2 linked regions of the Anolis sagrei genome follow. The protein of the gene in region 2 purifies or fractionates together with the protein of the main gene of each other region. This does not show direct contact. Links are inferred from orthologs where the notes say so. Each region holds a gene or a part of one and is shown on either strand. Other genes may lie near its edges.

Region 1 (11,601 bases), on a different chromosome or scaffold from region 2:
CCAAAGTGTAACCATATGATTTGGAAAAGAGCCTCCTCCAGACCTCTGGGCAAGTTTCTTGCAAAAAGCCAATCTTTCCAACTCAAAAGCATTCCTTTACAACATCTTAACCTGGAGGTGTGTTTCTTCCCTCCACAAATGGACAAATTTATGCAATGCTTTAGACATAAAATAAACCATGTATTATTAGTATTTAGAGAAGTGGTTCTCAACCTGTTTAGATTATATGCCTTTACTAATACACATACAACTACTATTTGCAACATTTATAATGTAATATTATATAGAAATATATATAAGGAGATAAACACACATTTATTAATGTTTAGATGATAGGCTTATAGATTATACACTATCACTAATACACACAAGTACTATTTCTAACATCAATAAACATACAATATTACTATATAGAAATATATATATATAGATACAAACTATTATATTTACAAAGACATCATTTATTAATGTTTAGAAAAACTTATAGATTATACATTATAACTATATATATATAGATAGTTTATCAATATTTAGATTTTAGGCTCATAGATTATACACTTGCTAATAAAAACATTTTTCAGCATCTATAAATATATTACTATACTATTATATTTACACACATTAATGTTCAATGATAGGCTTATAGATTATATACTATTCCTATAGAAATATATAGGAATTCACAGTTTATTAGTGTTGAGATGATAGGCTTACAAGGTTATACACTATTCCTATAGAAATATATATAGATTCACATAGGAGTTGAGATGATAGGCTTAGCTCATACTCTATGATAGGGTTAACTCATATTCCTATTCGTATGCCAATATATATATAGATACATAATTAATTAACGTTGGATAGGCTTATAGATTACTAATACACACATACAACTATTTGCAACAGCTATGAATACATAATAGCATATATACACTATATATATGTCTATATATACACACATATAGATATATATAAACATATACAGAGAGATAATTCATTCATGTTAAGACTCCAGGCTTAAACTACAACTAGCAAGTTACATATATACATAAATGGATATATATAGGAATAATAGCATTTAATAGTTTACCACAATTAGTAACAAGGCGTGGTTCGTTAAGAGGCTCACCTCTATTAATCAGCTACAGCCGTCCACACTGGTAACGACGTTTCTAACACGCGACAAACTAAATTCCTTCCTCTCAGGCTTCTCAAGAGTGTCTAGGCCCAGCCGCTCGTGCGGCCTTATATAGTCGCCCGCTCCCTTGCGTGGATGGCTGTGGTTGGTCGGTTTTTCCTCGCTGGAGCTTCCCGATTGGTTGCTTCCTTCCTAGCTGGCCGGCCCCGATTGGTCCGCTTGCGTAGTGACGTCACGCACCCGTCGCGTGCTTCGCCGTCGGGCCTTTCTCCCCTTTTCTTCTTTGCCTTACCTTCTTTCCGCTTAACCTCCGCGCTACTGATTGGTCCACCCAACCGGCCCCGCGGACCAATCACAGCCCGCGCTGTGGCCAAGCGGAAAGAGCCCATTGGCTGGGAGGTGACACGGCGTTGAAAAGGCTTAGGATGAATCCTTCTGGAAGTTGCCATGGTTACCAGGCCTAGCCAGGCGCCAAGGCTTTTTGAAGCCTGAGAAAGTGATTTCCTTATACATTTTGAGACCATACAGATAAAATTGCATATAGGACTATTTGCGCCTAGAATCATAGAATCAAAGAGTTGGAAGAGACCTCATGGGCCATCCAGTCCAACCCCCTGCCAAGAAGCAGGAATGTTGCATTCAAATCACCCCTGACAGATGGCCATCCAGCCTCTGTTTAAAAGCTTCCAAAGAAGGAGCCTCCACCACACTCTGGGGCAGAGAGTTCCACTGCTGAACGGCTCTCACAGTCAGGAAGTTCTGGCCTCATGTAAGCCGCCCCAAGTCCCCGTTGGGGGAGATGGTGGCGGCGTATAAATAAAGTTTATTATTATTATTATTATTATTTGCACTCCCTTGGCAGCCACCTCTCCATCCAAGTCAACATTGACACAGAAATACAACACCGCCTGAGCTCTGCAAGGGCAGCATTTTTCCAAATGAAGCAGAGAGTGTTTCAGGTCTGGGACATCCATACAGAGACCAAGGTGCTTGTCTATAAAGCTATTGTCCTCCAAACCCTGTTATATGCCTGCGAAACGTGGACTGTCTACAGATGTCACACTCAGCTCCTGGAACAATTCCATCAGCGCTGCCTCTGGAAAATCCTGCAAATCTCTTGGGTAGACAAGCGGACAATGTCAGCGTGCTGGAAGATGCAAAGACCACCAGCATTGAAGCGATGGTCCTCCGCCATCAACTCAGCTGGACTGGCCCCCTTGTCTGAATGCCCGACCACTGTCTCCCAAAGCGGTTGCTCTACTCCGAACTCAAGAATGGAAAACGGAATGTTGGTGGACAGGAAAAGAGATTTAAAGACGGGCTCAAAGCCAACCTCAAAAACTGTGGAATAGACACTGAGAACTGGGAAGCCCTGGCCCTTGAGTGCTCCGACTGGAGGTCAGCTGCGGCCAGAAGTGCTGCAGAATTTGAAGAAGCACGAATAGAGGGCGAAAGAGAGAAACGTGCCAAGAGGAAGACGCGTCAGGCCAACCCCGACAGAGACCACCTGGAAACCAATGCCCTCTCTGCGGAAGAAGATGCAGATCAAGAATAGGGCTCCACAGCCACCTACGGACCCACCGCCAGGACAACGAACTTGAAGGACCATCATCCTCGGACTATGAGGGATCGCCTAAATAAGTAAGTAAGTAAATAAGTAAAGTAAGTACACTGATTCTGGAAGACTATCCTACTTGGACAACGAGGAATAGCCTAAGTAAGCAAAGCTGCAATTGGATGTACTACTTTATAATAAAGTTTTGACTTCCCATGATTGGATTTACTAATTCCATCACTTTGGACAATGATATGTGTAGAACACAATGGACATGGGCATTGTGAGTGCCCGACCCACCTTAATGGGTCACTCATCTTCGCAAAAGACTTTCATAACACGCATGGGACCTGATGGCCCCATGAAACCTGGATATATATATATATATATACACACACACACACACACACACACAAAATATATACACATATATAAATACACACACACACACATATATATACACGTGTAACTTTTCATATAATAAACCATTATATATATTAATAATAATGTTTCATGTTATACAAAACAACACAGAGATACAACTTTAACACTACATATATGTATCTGTGTTGTGTTATACAAATAAACCTTATAACAAAACCATTACATACATTTAACTTTTCATATAATAAGCTAATATATATATATATATATATATATATATCTACACACACACACACATACCATTATCGGTATTTATATATCATGTGTGATGAAAGTATATACTGTTAAACTTATATGTATATATATAAGTGCATGCATATATATTACGCTATACATCTATGTATCAATATATACAAATACAACTATTTCCCTATATTAAACCATAATATATTTAAATTTTCATGATAAACCCATATATAGAGTTTGTGTATATATGTGTGTATAATGTATATATAGTGGTTTGTTATATATACATGTATGTACATTATATATTTTTGTATTATATATATTATATATGACATTTTATATGTGTTTATATAGACACACGCATATACACATATGGAGTGTATATATTGTGGTTTATTATATATTAGCTATACATGTATAATATATATTAATACCGATATACAGGGTGAGGCAGCATAACTTCCTTTTTTCAAAACTTAATAAAACCCATTGTATGAATCTGATTTTTTTTATAATGTAGGCACATACCAAAAGTTTTGTTTTACGTAGTTTTGAAGATCAAATTAGGTAGGTGACGTCCCCCATTCTCCATACACTAAGTAACCTGATTTCTGGCGTTTGTCATGACTCTCAATCATAGCAGGAGTTGTGTTGGCAATTTCTTCCTGGATGTTGGTCTTCAAATCTTGTAGGGTCCTTGGACGGTTCACATAAACACAGGATTTCAAAAAAACCCATAGAAAAAAATCACAAGGGGCCAAATCTGGAGAGCGGGCCGGCCACTCCAAATCTGCTCGAAAAGTAGGCCTCAACGGCAAAAGCACGCTCCTCACTGTTCCAACGCATGATGGCGAATGAACTGTGTCAGGACAAAACTTTATACTCCCGCCTCTCGAACAAGACTACTAGCGCTCCGCTACGTCTTCAACTGACTGAATGGCGCGCATTTTAAAAAATGAAGTTATACTGCCTCACCCTGTATACATATATATATAGATAGATATTGATATATCATATTGTATTACATTTATTATGCATATGTGTATATGTGTGCATATACGTGTGTGTGTATATATATATATAAAACCATTCTATCAACTGCTTGTACTTCTTTTCCTCCAGAAATTCAGTTGACAATCATCTTGGCTTTGTGAGTCACCATTTGTCTTTCTCAGTATTGCACCATATCCTTTCCTCAAGCTTCCTGATATTAACGCAGGCAAAGGACCTCACCGTTCTAGAGTTAACTGAGCATAAAATCCTTTGATTTATTAAGATTTAATCAGGAAAACATATATGAAGTGGGATGAAGCTACAGAAATATGAACTAGAACAAGAAGTCCTAACACAAGAAGTTGAAATAATCACTCCCAACTTTTGGAAATAGATGCCCATGAGATAAATTGATTTAGCAGTCATTAAAGGTTTTGAGAATTACAGTCCTGGGGTTAAAGTCTTATTATTGTTATCCTTCCATCTATATAAATAAATTATTATCACTCATCCACCTATCTATCTTCCATTCATGTATCTATCCACCCCCCTTCTATCTTCCATCCATCTATCCACCTATCCATCCATCCATCCATCCATCAAACATGGTCCTTAACCATGGCCTTGAATCAAGTTCCTGTATTTCATTACTGCACCTTAAATTAAAATAATCCTATTATAATTACTCTATTCCTTTGCTGCGATATGTTCTATCTACCTTTGGCCAGCCTATCCTCTAACATGTCTGTACACCAGTCCTCCCCAAAATGAGACTTGAGAGTATTTCTGGTTGTTGCTTATGATGTCTTGTTTTTTTAATGTCAGTTATACATTGTTTTAATTTTTTATTTGCCTTGTTTTAATTGTATGTTAGGGTTAGTTGCCCCGGGTCCCTTTGGGGAGATGGAGGCGGGGTAGAAAAATAAAGTTCTTCTTCTTCCATCCATCTATCTATAAATGACGTCTTATTATTATTACAGATCCATCTATATAAATTTAAATAAGTTATTATTATTCATCCATCTAACCATCCATCCATCTTCCATCCATCCATCCATCCATCGATCAAGTCATATTATTATGACCCATTTATCCATCCATCTATTTATATAAATATAAATAAATAATTATTATTCATCCATCCATCTGTCTTCCATCCATGTATAAAGTCTTATTATTATTACCGATCCATCTATATTATTCATCGATCCATCCATCAATTAATCTAACAATCCATCTTCCATCCAGCTATTTATCTTATTATTATGACCCATCTATCCATCCATCTATTTGTATAGAAATAATTATTATCCATCCATCCATCTATAAAGTCTTATTATTACTGTTCCATCTATAATTTAAAGAAATTATTATTTTTATTAATCCATCTTCCATCCATCAATCAATTCATCTATCTATCTATCTATCCATGACCCATCCATCCATTTATCCATCCATCTATTTATATAAATATAACTAAATAATAATTATTTATCCATCTATCCATCTATAAAGTCTTATTATTATTACCGTCCATCTATACAAATTCAAATAAATTATTATTAGCATTCATCCTCCATCCATTCATCAATTCATCCATCTATCCATCGAACAATCCATCCATCTATCTTCCATCCAACCATCTATCTATCAAGTCTTATGACCCATCCATCCATCTATCCATTGATCTATGTATATAAATATAAATAATTATTATTCATCCAACCATCTATCTTCCACCCATCAATCTATAAAATCTTATTATTATTACCGATCCACCTATAATTTAAATATATTATTATTATTATTATGAATCTTCCTTCCATCCATCCATCACTTCATCCATCTATCTTCCATCCATCCATCTATCAAGTCTTATTATTATGACCCATCCATCCATTTATATAAATATGAATGAATAAATAAATATTACTCATCCATCCATCTATAAAGTATTATTACCCATCTATATACATTTAAATAAATTATTATTATTATTATTATTATTATTCATCCATCTATCTATCAAGTCTTATTATTATGACCCATCCATCCATCTATTTATATAAATAGAAATAAATAAATTATTATTATTTATCCATCCATCTATCTATCTATCTATCTACCTACCTACCTATCTATCTATCTATCTATCTATCTATCTTCCACCCACTCCATTCATCTATCTATCTATCCATTTATCTTCTATTTATCTAGATCAGGCCTGGGCCAACTTGGGCCCTCCAGCTGTTTTGGACTCCAACTCCCATCCATCTCTAAACAACGGCCACCTTCTGGAAGGACAAACTTGTCAGAAACGCGTTGGGTTGGCTGCAAAGTCCCGCGCATGCGCCTCTCCCTCTCCCTCCTTGGAACCAGCGAAAGCCAAGCCCCGCCCTCTTCCCCCTCTTCGGCCGCCGTCCCGACGCATGCGCAGCGGAGTGCGTAAGGGGGCGTGGCCAGGGTAGGGGCGGGGCTCAAGGCCCAGAAGAGAAGAAGCGGCGGAAGCGGAGGCCTCGCCTCGCAGGTGGGTCCCTTCACTGAGGCAGCTAGGCCTCGGCCTTTAGTTGGGTATTTATACCAGGCCTGGGCCAACTTGGGCCCTCCAGGTGTTTTGGACTACAACTCCCACAATTCCTAACAGCCTACCGGCTGTTAGGAATTGTGGGAGTTGTAGTCCAAAACACCTGGAGGACCCAAGTTGGCCCAGGCCTGATCTACAAGCAAGGGAAGCCTGGGAATTGTCGTTTGACCCTTATTTCTGTGCCCCTTCCACACACCTGAATAAAATCCCACATTATCAGTGTTGAACTGCGTTATATAGCAGTGTGGACTCGGATAACCCGGTTCAAAGCAGATATTGAGGATTATCTGCCTTGACATTCTGGGTGGAAGGGCCCCTGGATATTTTGAGCTGGGTTATATGAGTCTACACTGCTATATCATCCAGTTTCTGAATTGTATGTGCTTTGAACTGAATTATATGAGTCTACACTGCCATATAATGCAGTTTCTGAATCCAATGTGCCTTGAACTGGGTTATATGAATCTACACTGCTTTATCTGAATCCTATGTACTTTGAGCTGGGTTATATGAGTCTACACTGCCATATAATGCAGTTTCTGAATCCTATGTTCCTTGAACTGGATTATATGAGTCTACACTGCTTTATCTGAATCCTATGTACTTTGAGCTGGGTTATATGAGTCTACACTGCCATATAATGCAGTTTCTGAATCCTATGTGCCTTGAACTGGGTGATATGAGTCTACAGTGCTATATCATCCAGTTTCTGAATTGTATGTGCTTTGAACTGAATTATATGAGTCTACACTGCCATATAATGCAGTTTCTGAATCCTATGTGCCTTGAACTGGGTTATATGAATCTACACTGCTTTATCTGAATCCTATGTACTTTGAGCTGGGTTATATGAGTCTACACTGCCATATAATGCAGTTTCTGAATCCTATGTGCCTTGAACTGGGTTATATGAATCTACACTGCTTTATCTGAATCCTATGTACTTTGAGCTGGGTTATATGAGTCTACACTGTCATATAATGCAGTTTCTGAATCCTATGTTCCTTGAACTGGATTATATGAGTCTACACTGCTTTATCTGAATCCTATGTACTTTGAGCTGGGTTATATGAGTCTACACTGCCATATAATGCAGTTTCTGAATCCTATGTGCCTTGAACTGGGTGATATGAGTCTACAGTGCTATATCATCCAGTTTCTGAATCCTGTGTGCTTTGAATTGGGTTATATGAGTCTACGCTGCCATATAATGCAGTTTCTGAATCCTATGTGCCTTGAACTGGGTGATATGAGTCTACAGTGCTATATCATCCAGTTTCTGAATCCTGTGTGCTTTGAATTGGGTTATATGAGTCTACGCTGCCATATAATGCAGTTTCTGAATCCTATGTGCCTTGAACTGGGTTATATGAGTCTACAGTGCTATATCATCCAGTTTCTGAATCCTGTGTGCTTTGAATTGGGTTATATGAGTCTACACTGCCATATAGTGCAGTTTCTGAATCTTGTGTGTCTTGAATTGGGTGATATGAGTCTACAGTGCTATATCATCCAGTTTCTGAATCCTGTGTGCTTTGAATTGGGTTATATGAGTCTACACTGCCATATAATGCAGTTTCTGAATCCTATGTGCCTTGAACTGGGTGATATGAGTCTACAGTGCTATATCATCCAGTTTCTGAATCCTGTGTGCTTTGAATTGGGTTATATGAGTCTACACTGCCATATAATGCAGTTTCTGAATCTTGTGTGTCTTGAATTGGGTGATATGAGTCTACAGTGCTATATCATCCAGTTTCTGAATTCTATGTGCCTTGAACTGGGTTATATGAGTCTACAGTGCTGTATCATCCAGTTTCTGAATCCTGTGTGCTTTGAATTGGGTTATATGAGTCTACACTGCCATATAATGCAGTTTCTGAATCTTGTGTGTCTTGAATTGGGTGATATGAGTCTGCACTGCTATATTATCAAGTTTCTGAATCCTATGTGTTTTGAGCTGGGTTATATGAGTCTACAGTGCTATATCATCCAGTTTCTGAATCCTATGTGTTTTGAGCTGGGTTATATGAGTCTACACTGCTATATCATCCAGTTTCTGAATCCTATGTGCTTTGAACTGAGTTATATGAGTCTACACTGCTATATCATCCAGTTTATGAATCCTACGTGCTTTGAGCTGGGTTATATGAGTCTACACAGCTATATTATCCAGTTTCTGAATCCTGTGTGCTTTGAACTGGGTTATATGAGTCCACACTGCTATATCATCCAGTTTCTGAATCCTATGTGCTTTGAGCTGGGTTATATGAGTCTACACTGCTATATCATCCAGTTTCTGAATCCTATGTGCTTTGAACTGGGTTATATGAGTCTACACTGCTATATCATCCAGGTTCTGAATCCTATGTGCTTTGAACTGGGTTATATGAGTCTACACTGCTATATCATCCAGTTTTTGAATCCTATGTGTTTTGAACTGGGTTGAGTCTACACTGTGTGCTTTCAGCTGGGTTATATGAGTCTACACTTCTATATCATCCATTCAACCTAATATTATAAATACCATATTAAACCATTAAAAACATATAATTACCAGTGTCGTCCTGTTAAAATAATTATCCAGCAGCATTGTCTAGCCATTCTGTGTTAATTCTTCCTATTTCATAATTATTTATGAGTCTAAACTGCCATATCATCCAGAATCTGAATCCTGATTATCTGCTTTGAATTGGGTTATATGAGTCTTCACTGTATTATCATCCATTGTCTGAATCCTGATTATATGCTTTGGAGACTGCCATAGAATCCAGTTCAAAGCATGTAATCTGGATTTAGTAACAGGATTACATGGTAGTATAGATAGGGCCTTTGAGATGTTTCTTGTGGAAGGAAAGATGGAGTCTTCTTCTCTGGAGGAGAGGGGATGGCCATCTGTTGGGAGGGCTTGGATTGTGTCTTCCTGTTTGGCAGAATGGATGAGCTGGGCGGCCCTTCCAGTCGTGTGATTCTATCTGCCAAAACAGATAATCCACATGATGTTCTCTGAACTGGATTATATGAGTCTACACAGCCATATAATCCAGTTCAAAGCAGATAATCTGGATTTTACATGGCAGTATAGAAGGGGCCTAAGTCACACTGCAAGGGCCTTAGATGAGGAAATGGGCCATCCTACCTTTAGATCAAGCCAGATAACAAAAATTGGAGGGCATTTCTGTTTATTTTGTGTGTGACCTCTTTAAGAGTCATAAATCGGAAGTCAGAATGTTTTGCTGTTCTGCAGGAAAATCATGAACTACTTTCTCCTTATCTTTGACTTTGTATGTCTTGTCTGAAGACTGTTTTTTTTCCAATGTTATAAGATCTGATAGCAAACACTGGAATGTATAGGAGGAAAAGATAACAAGGGATGAATGTGAGTGTATTGCAGGCATTTACGGGCACTTGCCAAGTTACAGACATCTGACTCAAAGTTAAGAACAGGAAGTGATGGAAATCTTCCCCTTGGAAGGATTAGATATCCTGGAAGAGTTATTATCATGGGGAAAATGTGTTCCCACAACAAGGCAAATGTTCAAAATCCACACTATCACAGGGACACAAAGTGAGGTGAAATCTTCTGAACAGAGGCACAGGCAACAAAACAAATGTCACAGAAGTGTTAACCCTAGCCTATGCTATCCAAAACATACACACACATATCTATATAAATAAAAATGTAATGTTCGTTTGTGGGATTAACAGAACTCAAAAACCACTGGATGAATTGACACTAAATTTGGACACAAGACACCTAACAACCCAATGGAATATTCGTGCCAAGTTTGGTCCAGATCCATCATTGTTTGAGTCCACAGTGCTCTCTGGATGTAGGTAAACTACAACTCCCAGACTCAAGGTCAATGCTCACCAAACCCTTCTAGTATTTTCTGTTGGTCATGGGAGTTCTGTGTCCCAAGATTGGTTCAGTTCCATCATTGGTGGAGTTCAGAATGCTCTTTGATTGTAGGTGAACTATAAATCCCAGCAACTACAACTCCCAAATGACAAAATCATTTTTTTTTTGAGTGAAGGACATACATTGGGTTGTTAAGTGTCTTGTGTCCAAATTTAGTGTCAATTCGTCCAATGGTTTTTGAGTTCTGTTAATCCCACAAATGAACATTACATTTTTATTTATATAGACTAGCCGTCCCCTGCCACACGTTGCTGTGGCCCAGTCTGTGTATATCTGTTTTGTGTGTGAATATAATTGTGTATATGTGTGTTTGCATATATATATGTGGTTTTGCGCATACGTTGTAATGAAATTTTTGTTTTTTGGCTTTGTTAGTTTCTTCTGCTGTGTTTTTCAGTGTGTTTGTGAGTGATGGTCACTCGTTTGCCTATTTATTTATTTTATTTATTTGTCGTGTCAGGGCAACCAGTCAATTATATTACATTACTAACAGAACAAAGCAAACAAACAGACAACATACAAAATTTGTGAGTTTGGTAGTTGATTAAACGTCCTTTGACCAGTAGCTGGCCCCTTGGAGTGCTTCTGGTGTTGCTGCAAGAAGGTCCTCCATTGTGCTTCGTTTGCCTGATAGATGTATTGTGTCCAAATTTGGTGTCAATTCGTCCAGTGATTTTGCTGTGGCCCACATGGGGGTTCTGTGTGGGAGGTTTGGCCCAATTCTATTGTTGATGGGGTTCAGAATGCTCTGTGATTGTAGGTGAACTATAAATCCCAGC
Region 2 (10,977 bases):
CGTAGTCCGAGGATGATGGTCCTCCAAGTTTGGTGTTCTGGTGGTGGGTCCGTAGTTGACTGTGGAGCCCTATTCCAGTACATTCCATTTAAATGACTACTTTTCCTAGAAGCTGACCACATGTGCAAGGAAATCTCACACAACTCCATATAAAATTTGGAAGATCCGCACTAAAACTTTAGGAAAAGATGGACCTCTAAAGGCAGATGGGAGAAAGAAAATAGCTTATTATGGAGATCAATTCTAGTCCAGACCTGTTTTGTCAGTTAAATGAGTTCTTTATACTGATAATTCTTTCAATCTGTGGTAATAGTTTAAATTGAGTGTTCATTAAAATTTACATGAGTAAATTTTCAAGCTAACTTCAAATACTCAATAGCAGGAGTGTCATACTGGTATATCGTCATAAGGAAATGATTTGCTTGATTTTTTTTCCTTAATGGTTCTTTGAGAAATAAGTATTCCTACCATTTGGCCATTGTTCTGAATCAACTGAATTGAATCACAAATATTTCAGAAAATATCCACAAACATTCACATACACAACTGCTTGACACCATCCCATGTGCTAGACTTTAGTTTAAATCAAATTATTTCAAAGAACAAATTTCCTAAATGTAAATTACAATATTTTTCCTTGTATTTTATAATACCTTGAGTAGTTTATATGAAGTATTTCTAGTTTTCCACACCAATCATTTTTAGGCATTTGAAAATTGTGACCAGTTTTAAACGTCTTACCCTAAGTAGAGTAGTCCACTAAATCAGTTGGATTTATTTGTGGTTTAACTAACCATTAAGTAAAAATGAACTAGGTTTACTGTATTTGAGACTTGCAGCAAGATTTTAGAACAAATTGTTACTATTTTTCTAACATAGTACATGAAATGTTACATTTTTGTCCTTTTACCGCTGGGTAAGGAGAAACCGAAAAGGATTTTGAGGACCACTGTACCTTTGAGCAAGAAAAATATGTACGGTATAAGTAACAATTGAATAGGATATAAACCCCTAATATTACCAGAAAGCAATATGAAATGATGGCTTTTTAAAAGATGTTCATACTTGTCAAATGCAATTTTAGAATACGCTTATTTTATCAGTGAAACTTCTGTAAGTATTGACTTGTAGAGTTCCCATTTAGAATGTGTGTATGTGGGCAAACTTGGAAGTCACTTGAAAACATGGCAACCTCATTTCATAGGGTTTTACTACACAACGAATACTGAGAAGTGGTTTTGCAAGTTTTTTACTCTGAAATCTAGCCTAAAGCACCTGTCTATCTGGTTGGTTTAGCATCTATTCACACCTCTCAGCTGATCACAGTGAAAACTGGAATCAGCTTCAAACCAGAATTCATTCTAGGACTGTTGGATAATCAAATAAAAAAGGAATGTTAGAAAATAGTGCAGTACACGTTAACAGTAACAAATCCTACATCATCAACAATGGAAAAAGAAAGAAACAGATTGGACAGTGAAAATTTGGGAATAGAAATTGATAAGTTAACCATTTTGTTGAAGGGGAAATCACTGGACACATTCTTAGAAAAATGTTTCTATTAATATGTATCTGAGGGAATGTTTTGTATTAATATATATGAGGGAAATTGAAAGACAGTTTTTGAGATAGTCAGCAACCTGCTGGATATAAGGTAGAAGAAGAAAAAGTTAAATTATAGGGAAACTGGTAAAGGGGAAGCAGGAAATCCTTTTAAAAAACTAATTCATGTATATTCTTTTGAAGATTCCATTGATTGTAAAACACACACCCACAGTTCTAACACACCTGTTTTTAGAGATATTTATATATGGGAAAGTGAACCTTAGAATAGAAGAAAAAAGATTTGTTGGTGCTTTAATTACATGTAATTAGAGTAGATGTATGTCAGTGTGAAAATTGTGTAGCTGGTATTTAATTGTTCTTTACGTTTTAAAATATATATAAACATTGTTACTTTTATTTGTGTTTCTTCGGTTAAATTTTGCATTTTAGAAAAATGGGGGAAAAGGAGAAATTTACCTAAGATCTTGCTAGCTCTCATGTTGGTCTTTGGAAAGACCTCTTAGTCTGAATCTTCACAAACCATATAATGCAGCTTGAAGCTAGCTCAAGGTCATGGTGTCCACAAAGCATACATCCCCAGTATGCATTAAGCCAGAAACAGTGTATTCAAATGCAGTATACATTAAGCCAGAAACAGTGTGTTCAAAAACACCAGAAAGTTCAAAACAAGCCAAAAATCCACTGCAGCCAATCAGAGTATATTCCATGCAGACCTCCAATCTGGGACTGGAAAATGAAGAATGCTTGCTAGGACACCTGGTGATGACGTGCTTTAAAAATGCAGAAATAGCTGGAAGGTAAATAAGAAAAGACATCATTCCCATGGGAAAATTCACTTCCCACACCTCTGTTCCGATTTCCTGTTTCCTGCCTCTGTCTAGCAGTGATCCCGAAAGGACATGGTGATGCATCTCAGTGAACTGGGTAAGAAAGAAAACATTCTTGGGTTCAATTGCAAACTGCAAAAAGCGGATGCTGTGGCCACCTCATTGAACCATTCCTGGGGTGTTTGTGTAAGCAAGAATGCACAGTGAAAGAGGTCCATTTAAATCCACCTCCAAACAGGATGATGATGATGATGATTAACAACTTTCTTTGTACACAGCCACCATCTCTCAGAGGGAATCTAGGTGGCTCACAAAGCACTCAAAGGTGCAACCACACAAAATACAGAAAGTGTAAACAACCATAAGTGAACAACCAACATAAACATCATAACTTCACAATACCCCCTGGTTAAAACCAAAATACAGTGATAGCTGCAGGTAAAAACAACTGTAGTCAGTTTCAGTCTTGTAAAGTGCTTGATAAAAAAATCTATAGGTCATATATATAGATTATAGTGTCTCTATAGTGTTAGAAGAAGCCTTAATTTTAGGGCTACAAAAGTAATAGGGTATATTTACTTTTATTATATGTTTTGTTATGGATTGCTGAGAGTATGGATATTTTATTTTGTTCTACTTAATTTTCTTTAAGTTATATTTTTTCAGTTACAAAAAAATTAAAAAGACTGTCAGCCCTTGATGAGGGGAAATAGAGACGCCTAGTGTTCTACATGTGGGTTTTTCATTTCTAATTATTCTAAAAGAAATTCAACAATTAAGTTGAAGCTCATCTTTCTTTCATTCAAGCTGTGAACAACAGAATCCTAAGTTTGAAGGGACGGCAATGGCCACCTAGTCCAGCCATGTTTCATAGAGGGTTTACTGCAAATGTTCCCTTGAGAGATGGGCCTTAATCTTGTTTAATATAATGACGAAGTAGGTCATGTTAGAGTAAGGTACCTTGACTAGGTGCTGTTCCATTAGCCGGGTGTAGGCCGCCAGGGGGCGCTAGCTGAAGCAGTAAAACCATCCCCCCCCCCCCCCCCCCCCCCGTTTCCTGTTATGAAATGGGAAGGGGGAATAATCAACAAAAACTAAGGAAATGGCTTTCCTCTTTCAAACCCCCCACCCCCAACATGGACTATCCTCTCTCTCTCTAGCACACCCTGGTGGCTTTTGCCTGTGTCAGAAGCGACTTGAAAAAAATGCAAGTCGCTTTTGGTATGAGAGAACTGGCCATCTGCAAGGACGTTGCCCAGGGGACGCCCAGATGTTTAATATTATACCCTGCTTATAGGAGGCTTCTCTCATGTCCCTGCATGGAGCTCTGGAGCTGACAGAGGGAGCTGAAACTGTTACACTGAGTCCCCTGAGGGGTGAGAAGAGCGGGATGGAAATGAAGTAAAGAAATAAATGTTTCACAGAGCTCTGGACATTGCTGTTTCTTTAAGGTGCTGGGAGTTTCAATGCAGCACAGGCTTAGAGGCCTTCACCTCGCCAATGCACTGTATTGCTTAGGCCAGGCATGTAGCCGGGGGGGGGGGGGGGCTCGGGGGCTTCAGCCCTTCCCCCCGAAATTTTCATGGTGGTTCGCGAAAAGGCCTTATTGGTGCATTATTTAAACTGTTATGTTTATTCATATCATGATCTGATCACCATACTCAATATATCCCATATGCATGGGGGTATTGGGGTAATGATACAAAAGTTTGCTAGGCTAGACCCTCTTTCACTCAGACTCAGCCCCCCCCCGAAACTCAGCCCCCCCCCGAAACCCCCCCTGAAAAAAAATCAGCCCCTCCCCCCCCCCCCCCCCCCCCCGAAACGAAATCCTGGCTACGGGCCTGGCTTAGGCTATTTTTCTTCAGGGGAGGGATAGTCATCAGCTTGAAATGATTACATGCCTTGTTGTTGTTCATTCGTTCAGTCGTCTCCGACTCTTCGTGACCTCATGGACCAGCCCACGCCAGAGCTCCCTGTCGGCCGTTACCACCCCCAGCTCCCTCAAGGTCAGTCCAGTCACTTCAAGGATGCCATCCATCCATCTTGCCCTTGGTCGGCCCCTCTTCCTTTTGCCTTCCACTTTCCCCAGCATAATTGTCTTCTCTAGGCTTTCCTGTCTCCTCATGATGTGGCCAAAGTACTTCAACTTTGTCTCTAGTATCTTTCCCTCCAGTGAGCAGTCAGGCTTTATTTCCTGGAGGATGGACTGGTTGGATCTTCTCGCAGTCCAAGGCACTCTCAGCACTTTCCTCCAACACCACAGCTCAAAAGCATCGATCTTCCTTCGCTCAGCCTTCCCTAAGGTCCAGCTCTCACATCCGTAGGTGACTACAGGGAATACCATGGCTTCGACTAGGCGGATCTTTGTTGCCAGTCTGATGTCTCTACTCTTCACTATTTTATCGAGACTGGACATTGCTCTCCTCCCAAGAAGTAAGCGTCTTCTGATTTCCTGGCCACAGTCTGCATCTGCAGTAATCTTTGCACCTAGAAATACAAAGTCTGTCACAGCCTCCACGGTTTCTCCCTCTATTTTCCAGTTGTCAATCATTCTTGTTGCCATAATCTTGGTTTTTTTGACGTTTAGCTGCAACCCAGCTTTTGCACTTTCTTCTTTCACCTTGATTAGAAGGCTCCTCAGCTCCTCCTCGCTTTCGGCCATCAGGGTGGTGTCATCTGCATATCTGAGGTTGTTAATGTTTCTTCCAGCAATTTTCACCCCAGCTTTGCATTCATCCAGCCCCGCACATCGCATGATGTGTTCTGCATACAAGTTAAAAAGGTTGGGTGAGAGGATGCAGCCTTGCCGTACGCCTTTCCCAATCTTGAACCAGTCTGTTGTTCCGTGGTCAGTTCTGACTGTTGCTACTTGGTCCTTGTACAGATTCCTCAGGAGAGAGACAAGGTGACTTGGTATCCCCATACCACCAAGAACTTGCCACAATTTATTATGATCCACACAGTCAAAGGCTTTAGAATAGTCAATGAAGCAGAAGTAGATGTTTTTCTGAAACTCCCTGCCTTTCTCCATTATCCAGCGGATATTGGCAATGTGGTCTCTCGTTCCTCTGCCTTTTCTAAACCCAGCTTGAACATCTGGCAACTCTCGCTCCATGTATTGCTGGAGTCTTCCTTGCAGGATCTTGAGCATTACCTTACTGGCATGAGAAATAAGGGCCACTGTACGGAAGTTGGAGCAGTCCTTCGCATTTCCCTTTTTTGGTATGGGGATATAAGTTGATTTTTTCCAGTCTGATGGCCATTCTTGTGTTTTCCATATTTGCTGGCAAATGGCATGCATCACCTTGACAGCATCATCTTTTAAGATTTTAAACAGTTCAGCTGGGATCCCGTCGTCTCCTGCTGCCTTGTTGTTAGCAATGCTTCTTAAGGCCCATTCAACCTCACTCCTCAGGATGTCTGGTTCTAATTCATTCACCACACCATCATAACTATCCTCAATATTATTATCCTAGCTTTGATCTATCCACTGAAGAGATTGTGATACCTTCATAGTGAGGCATGTGCCTTAATTTTACAATGTCATTCGCCTCCTCTGCCCAATAGTGCTGGCGCCTCACCAAACGACAGCTCCCAAGATTCCCTAGAACTGAGCCATGGGGGTTAAAGCGGTGCCAAACTGCATTAATTCTTGAGTGTGGCGGGCGCCCTTTTCGGCGAGGGCTATAGCAGGGGCTCGCCGCGGCCTCGGCGGTTGCCTGGGCGACGGCCCTGGCTCCGGCTCCCGGCCTCACAATCTGCAAGCCCCGCCCCGTTCCCGCCCCTCGAGCCGCCTTCCCTCCCGGGGAGGCGCAGGCCCCGCCCTCAGTTGTCAAGGAAGTGAGGTCACACAACATGGCGGCGGCTCGGCCCCAGCTGCGTTGAGCGGGAGGGGGGATCCGGGTCTCGGGGAATCGGCCTCCATCCTCCCCAGCCGGGGCGCGCGGCCGCCCCCAGACCCCTCCGCCGCCGGGAGACGGGCCCCGGGCCGCCATGCTCGCCGTCCTGGCCTCGCTCTGAGCCGGGCTCCGTCCTCGCCGCTGGGTTGGGTCCACTCGAGCCGCGCCGATGGAGTTGAGAGTCGGGAACCGGTACCGGCTCGGCCGGAAGATCGGGAGCGGTTCTTTCGGGGATATTTACCTCGGTGAGGAAGAGGAGGAAGCGGGCGGTGGAGGGGAGGGCTGGCCGGGGTCCGGCGGGGCCTGCTCGGCCTCAAAGAACCGCCGCAACCCGGCAAGGGCTGCCTGTCGCCTCACCTCGGGCTTCTCAGGCCTTGTTTACGGAGGGTGCGCCTACATTGTCGAATAAATGCAGGTTGACAGCACTTCAGCTGCCATGTCTCAGTGCTGTGGAATCCTGGGAGCGGTAGTTTTCCAAGGCCTTACGCTTCCTCTGCTCAGTAGCCCTGGGGCCTCCTCAAACGGCCCCTCCCTGGATTCCGTAGCTGCTCCCCTTTGCAGTCAGTGGTGCCGGCCACCAGTCTTCCGTGTAGGCCTCACCCTTTCCCGAGACTTCCTCAGGGCAGAGCCCCTCGCCCTCCCCGCTTCCTCCTTCAAGAGAAACTTCCTTGGTGACCTTGGGCCGCCGGCCGCCCTCTTCTCAGCCGGCCTCCCTTGGCTGGAGCAGGAAAAATCAAGCCCGTCCTCCTTCCAAAGCATGGACTGGACCCAAGAGTTTTGACTTCAAAGCCTGGTCTTGGCCAGGACCGCAGGCCTTGACTATTGCTTCAACCGGGGCTGTAAAAGCCTCCAGGAAGTAGCTCGCTTTTACAAAAAAAATTGCCCAATGCTGTGTTTTGTGATTGCAAAATCGCTCATTTTGTGGCTTGGGGTGCTTTCTGCCTTTTTGGTTTTTAACCTGGACTTCCGGTAAATGGGATGGTGGGCCCTTCCACATCCATATAACTCAGAATATCAAGGCAGGTAATTCCATAATATCTGGGTTATCTGAGGGCCCTTCCACACAGCCTTATATCCCAGAATATCAAGGCAGAAAAACCCACATTATCAGAGTGTAGACTCAGATAACCCAGTTCAAAGCAGAATTGTGGGATTTTCTGCATTAATATTCTGAGATATAGGACTGTGTGGAAGGGCCTTGAGTCCACACAGCCATATATTCCAGTTCAAAGCAGAAAATGAGGGATTTATTTATTCAGCTGTGTGGAAGGAGCATTTTGTTCCTTTCTGAGGTGTAAAATTCTGGTTATTTGCAACCCAGTCCCCTAGTTTTGATGACAGCATAATTGTGAATCTAAGCCAGAGGCCTGCTGACTTACTTCTTTGGTGATGAATCTTTAATAAACCCCCAGGGATGTGGGTTTTCGCTTGCATTCTGCATATGGTAAGCTAGCCTAGGTGTCTCCTTTCAAAGTGGTAGGCTCTATGCAAAGGTAAGCCAGGAAAAAAAATCTGATGGTCTGTCAATTAGTTCAAGGTTCAGTCCCACGAAGGATTAGGCCTATGCATTGCAGTATACATTTGAGTAGCTTTAATGGGATTGCTGACTTTGCGTATTGTTGTACAAAGGGAACAGCCAATCCAAGTCTGAGCTCCTATGTTTAAAAATAAATGTGAATATCGAAAGCAGCAAATCCATATTGCCAAGGCTGCTATTTCTTTGTATACAAAAGGTTACTTCCTTACCTGATCTAGTGCTTCCTTGCCTGATCTAGTGCTTTTCTGACAGAATAACATTAAATATCTTATAGTGTTTTGTTCTTACCTATCTTTTAGGAAAGGGTGTGAAATGTCAACATTTCTGTTGAAATAAATGCTTTATGTCTTTGATCAGATCTTTATTCAGAAAACTTTGGAAGTGCAGTCTTCTGAAATCCTTCTTGGATGTTGTCTTTGCTTCCTCCTTGTAAATAATAAACTTTAAGGGATTTCTTTTGCTTGCATACTACACAAAATTATACATACAAGGGTGTGAACCCATCAGGACAAAAGATTATCATTTGGTTGCAGCTTCCCCTTTAATTAAAAGTGTTGTGCAGGTTGGAAAAACTTTGTTAAAAGTCAGAGAAGGCTTTTATTAATCTTGTCCCTAATAAAATGTTATATCTGCTTGTGGCAGCGACCCATTAGATTTTTTAAATTTTTGAGAAAGATGTGCAAGAAAGGGCATAGATACCTTTATGATTATGATTCACACTAAAAATGGATCTTAGGTTATGTATATTTCTTAACCATCACATCTATTACTCTTGCCTTTGTTTTATTTACCAGGCTTGAGTTTCTTTTCGCTCTGATACTTAGGAAGGTTCAAAGGATAGTGTAAAACAGGACAGTGAAGATATTTAAATTATTCACCACTGTTGTCCCACCTGATGGGGGAAGAGAAGGATGATGACACTTTCCCAAATTCTTAATCCTAGAACTTTGATTCCCTTGTAATACAGAGAAGACTTCAGAACCTTGACACACGAAATTGTCAGATCCTTTGGCATAGTCTTGTTTTGGTAGCTGCCCAGGGAAGAATATCCTTGTATACTAAAAACATTTCCAGTCAGATATTTTCTTAAACTTTCTGAGTGTTGTAACTTTCGCCATCCTTTCTTCCTCATGTCCGCATTTTAGAATTAAGTTGAATTTAGGAGATATTTCCATTTACTGAAATTAAGACATTAAGATCCCTTACTCATGTGGTGTCATTTCCTGCTTCTTTGAGAAGTTTGCATTATTATTAACAGTAAAAGGTATTACTCCTATTTATGAGGCAAGAATCACAGGTTATTAATTAGTTGATATTGTATATAGGGATTCATTTCAAATAAGAGTTTCTGTAGGTAGTTTGAAATAAGAAGATGGAATTCCTGCAATGCAAAACTTTTGGTTTTGAAAAAGTTTGCTTCTGGGTTTTTTTTAAAAAAACTTCCACCTAGTATATAAAATAAATATTAAATTCCTATAATAAAGTTTTTTCTTCTCATTTGAGCATTATAAAAAATGAGTTGCTTGGCTTTCCAGCCATTGTCTTCGAGGCAGTTGCTATAAATAGAATTGTTCGGTCATATCGGCTATTGACATATAGACGTTTTAAAAATCTGGCTATTACAGTCACTTCAGAAAATAGCAATTTTACTTAGTTACTCTTTCTTCGGTTATATCCAGTGGGATTATTAGATTTCAGATTAGATGGAAGTCACCCAGAAAATCCATTGCAAAATACTTTTATCAAAAGAAGAAGATTGTAGAGTTTCTGATATTTACAACAAGTAAATGTCTGATTAGAAGACCTAAAGTCACTATCACTTTAACTGTGGATCTGTATCTGAAATCTAACAGATCACTTCAGCTTTGTTCATTCAAGATATTTTCTACAACCTTGATTACTGTCTTAATTTCACTTCATAGGAATCTCATTTTTGATTTGTAATTGTGAGAACTCTTTCTGCAGTGGTTTCATCTATAAGTATTTTTTTACCATATTTTACTAAGGTATTTTGATTTTGCTACTACTGTACTGGAAGCTGTGATAGACTAGCATTGTTTATTACGTAGCCAACAAATTCATTTAGAAATGAAAAATTCAGTCTTGCACATCTCTGGTACCAATTACCAGGCTACTTCAGTGTTTCCCTGAACCTGAACTATAGCCAGGTTTTATTTTCTGAGGATCTGTGAGATGCTGCCCAGTCACTAAGAATTTGTTGGCAGAAAATATGCTTACCTAAGAAGGACTTCCTTACTCAGGAGTCTGTAGCAAAATATGTATGATTGGAGATGAATCCTCCTTATGCACTGCATAAAGAAGACATTACTACATCCTGCAGTTTTGCTTGATGAAATTAATATTTTTGCACCAGTCTACAGTAAGTATTAAATAATAACGTAGTAGTAGTAGTAGTAACAACTTTATTTCTAGATCGCTCTCTCTCCCCAGAAGTACTCAGGGCAGTTGACACATAAAAGGGCAAACATTCAATGCCTCAAAATAGGTACAGACTAAATTGTAGTAAGATAACTCATTTTGAAACAGCTTTCCACTTTCTTCCTTTGTAGCCCAGTAGGATTACAAAATGGATCATGAAGTGGAAGGTTTAATGTTACGTGTTGTTAAAAATGGTTTCTGTAGAGAGAAAGAGTGTGTGAGACAGAATTGATATATTCCAAGCCACAATGCTTGTGTATTTTAGAAAATCTGGAGCTACCTCTATAGTGGAATGTCTTCAGCAAAAACAAACAAAAGGTTAATTAACTATACTTGTTAACTTATTTCAACTATCTTAAGCCCCGATCATCTCAACAGTGGTGAAGAGTGCTGGGTGTGGCACTCAGGCGGTATCAGCAGGGCCTCATTTTGCCCACCTCTTCTATAAATAGTAACCTTGCATGTGGTGACAGACACAAGTAGTTTCTATGCTGCTCACTGAGATTACCTGTGGGAGCCTCCCATGATGTACTTCAGAAGGGAATAGTCTTAAACCAGAAGACTCACTGAAATCAGCTTTTGAATGAGCTTAATTTTGGCAAGGTTTACTGAACATCTGGGATAATGTTTAAGAGAAAATATGAGAAAATGCATAAATAATATGTTATCCTTTCCTTACCATATTTTGTAAGAAACATTTAAGTAT

What was found. Proteins that work in one complex are often made in the same cells at the same time.
Region 1: the proteins of CSNK1D (region 2) and GAPVD1 purify together in Homo sapiens (affinity purification with mass spectrometry; 5 studies listed by BioGRID and IntAct, counting the BioPlex papers as one, with this or other methods). This does not show direct contact. The link is inferred for Anolis sagrei from reciprocal best matches to the Homo sapiens genes CSNK1D and GAPVD1.

What each region holds. Positions count from the first base shown.
Region 1 is NC_090031.1:6,428,051-6,439,651, forward strand, and holds the start of GAPVD1 (GTPase-activating protein and VPS9 domain-containing protein 1), read left to right. Parts: upstream 1-6,746; 5' UTR 6,747-6,843; intron 6,844-11,601. UniProt on the Homo sapiens protein: Acts both as a GTPase-activating protein (GAP) and a guanine nucleotide exchange factor (GEF), and participates in various processes such as endocytosis, insulin receptor internalization or LC2A4/GLUT4 trafficking.
Region 2 is NC_090022.1:114,328,760-114,339,736, reverse strand, and holds the start of CSNK1D (casein kinase I), read left to right. Parts: upstream 1-6,224; 5' UTR 6,225-6,464; coding exon 6,465-6,540; intron 6,541-10,977. UniProt on the Homo sapiens protein: Essential serine/threonine-protein kinase that regulates diverse cellular growth and survival processes including Wnt signaling, DNA repair and circadian rhythms. It can phosphorylate a large number of proteins.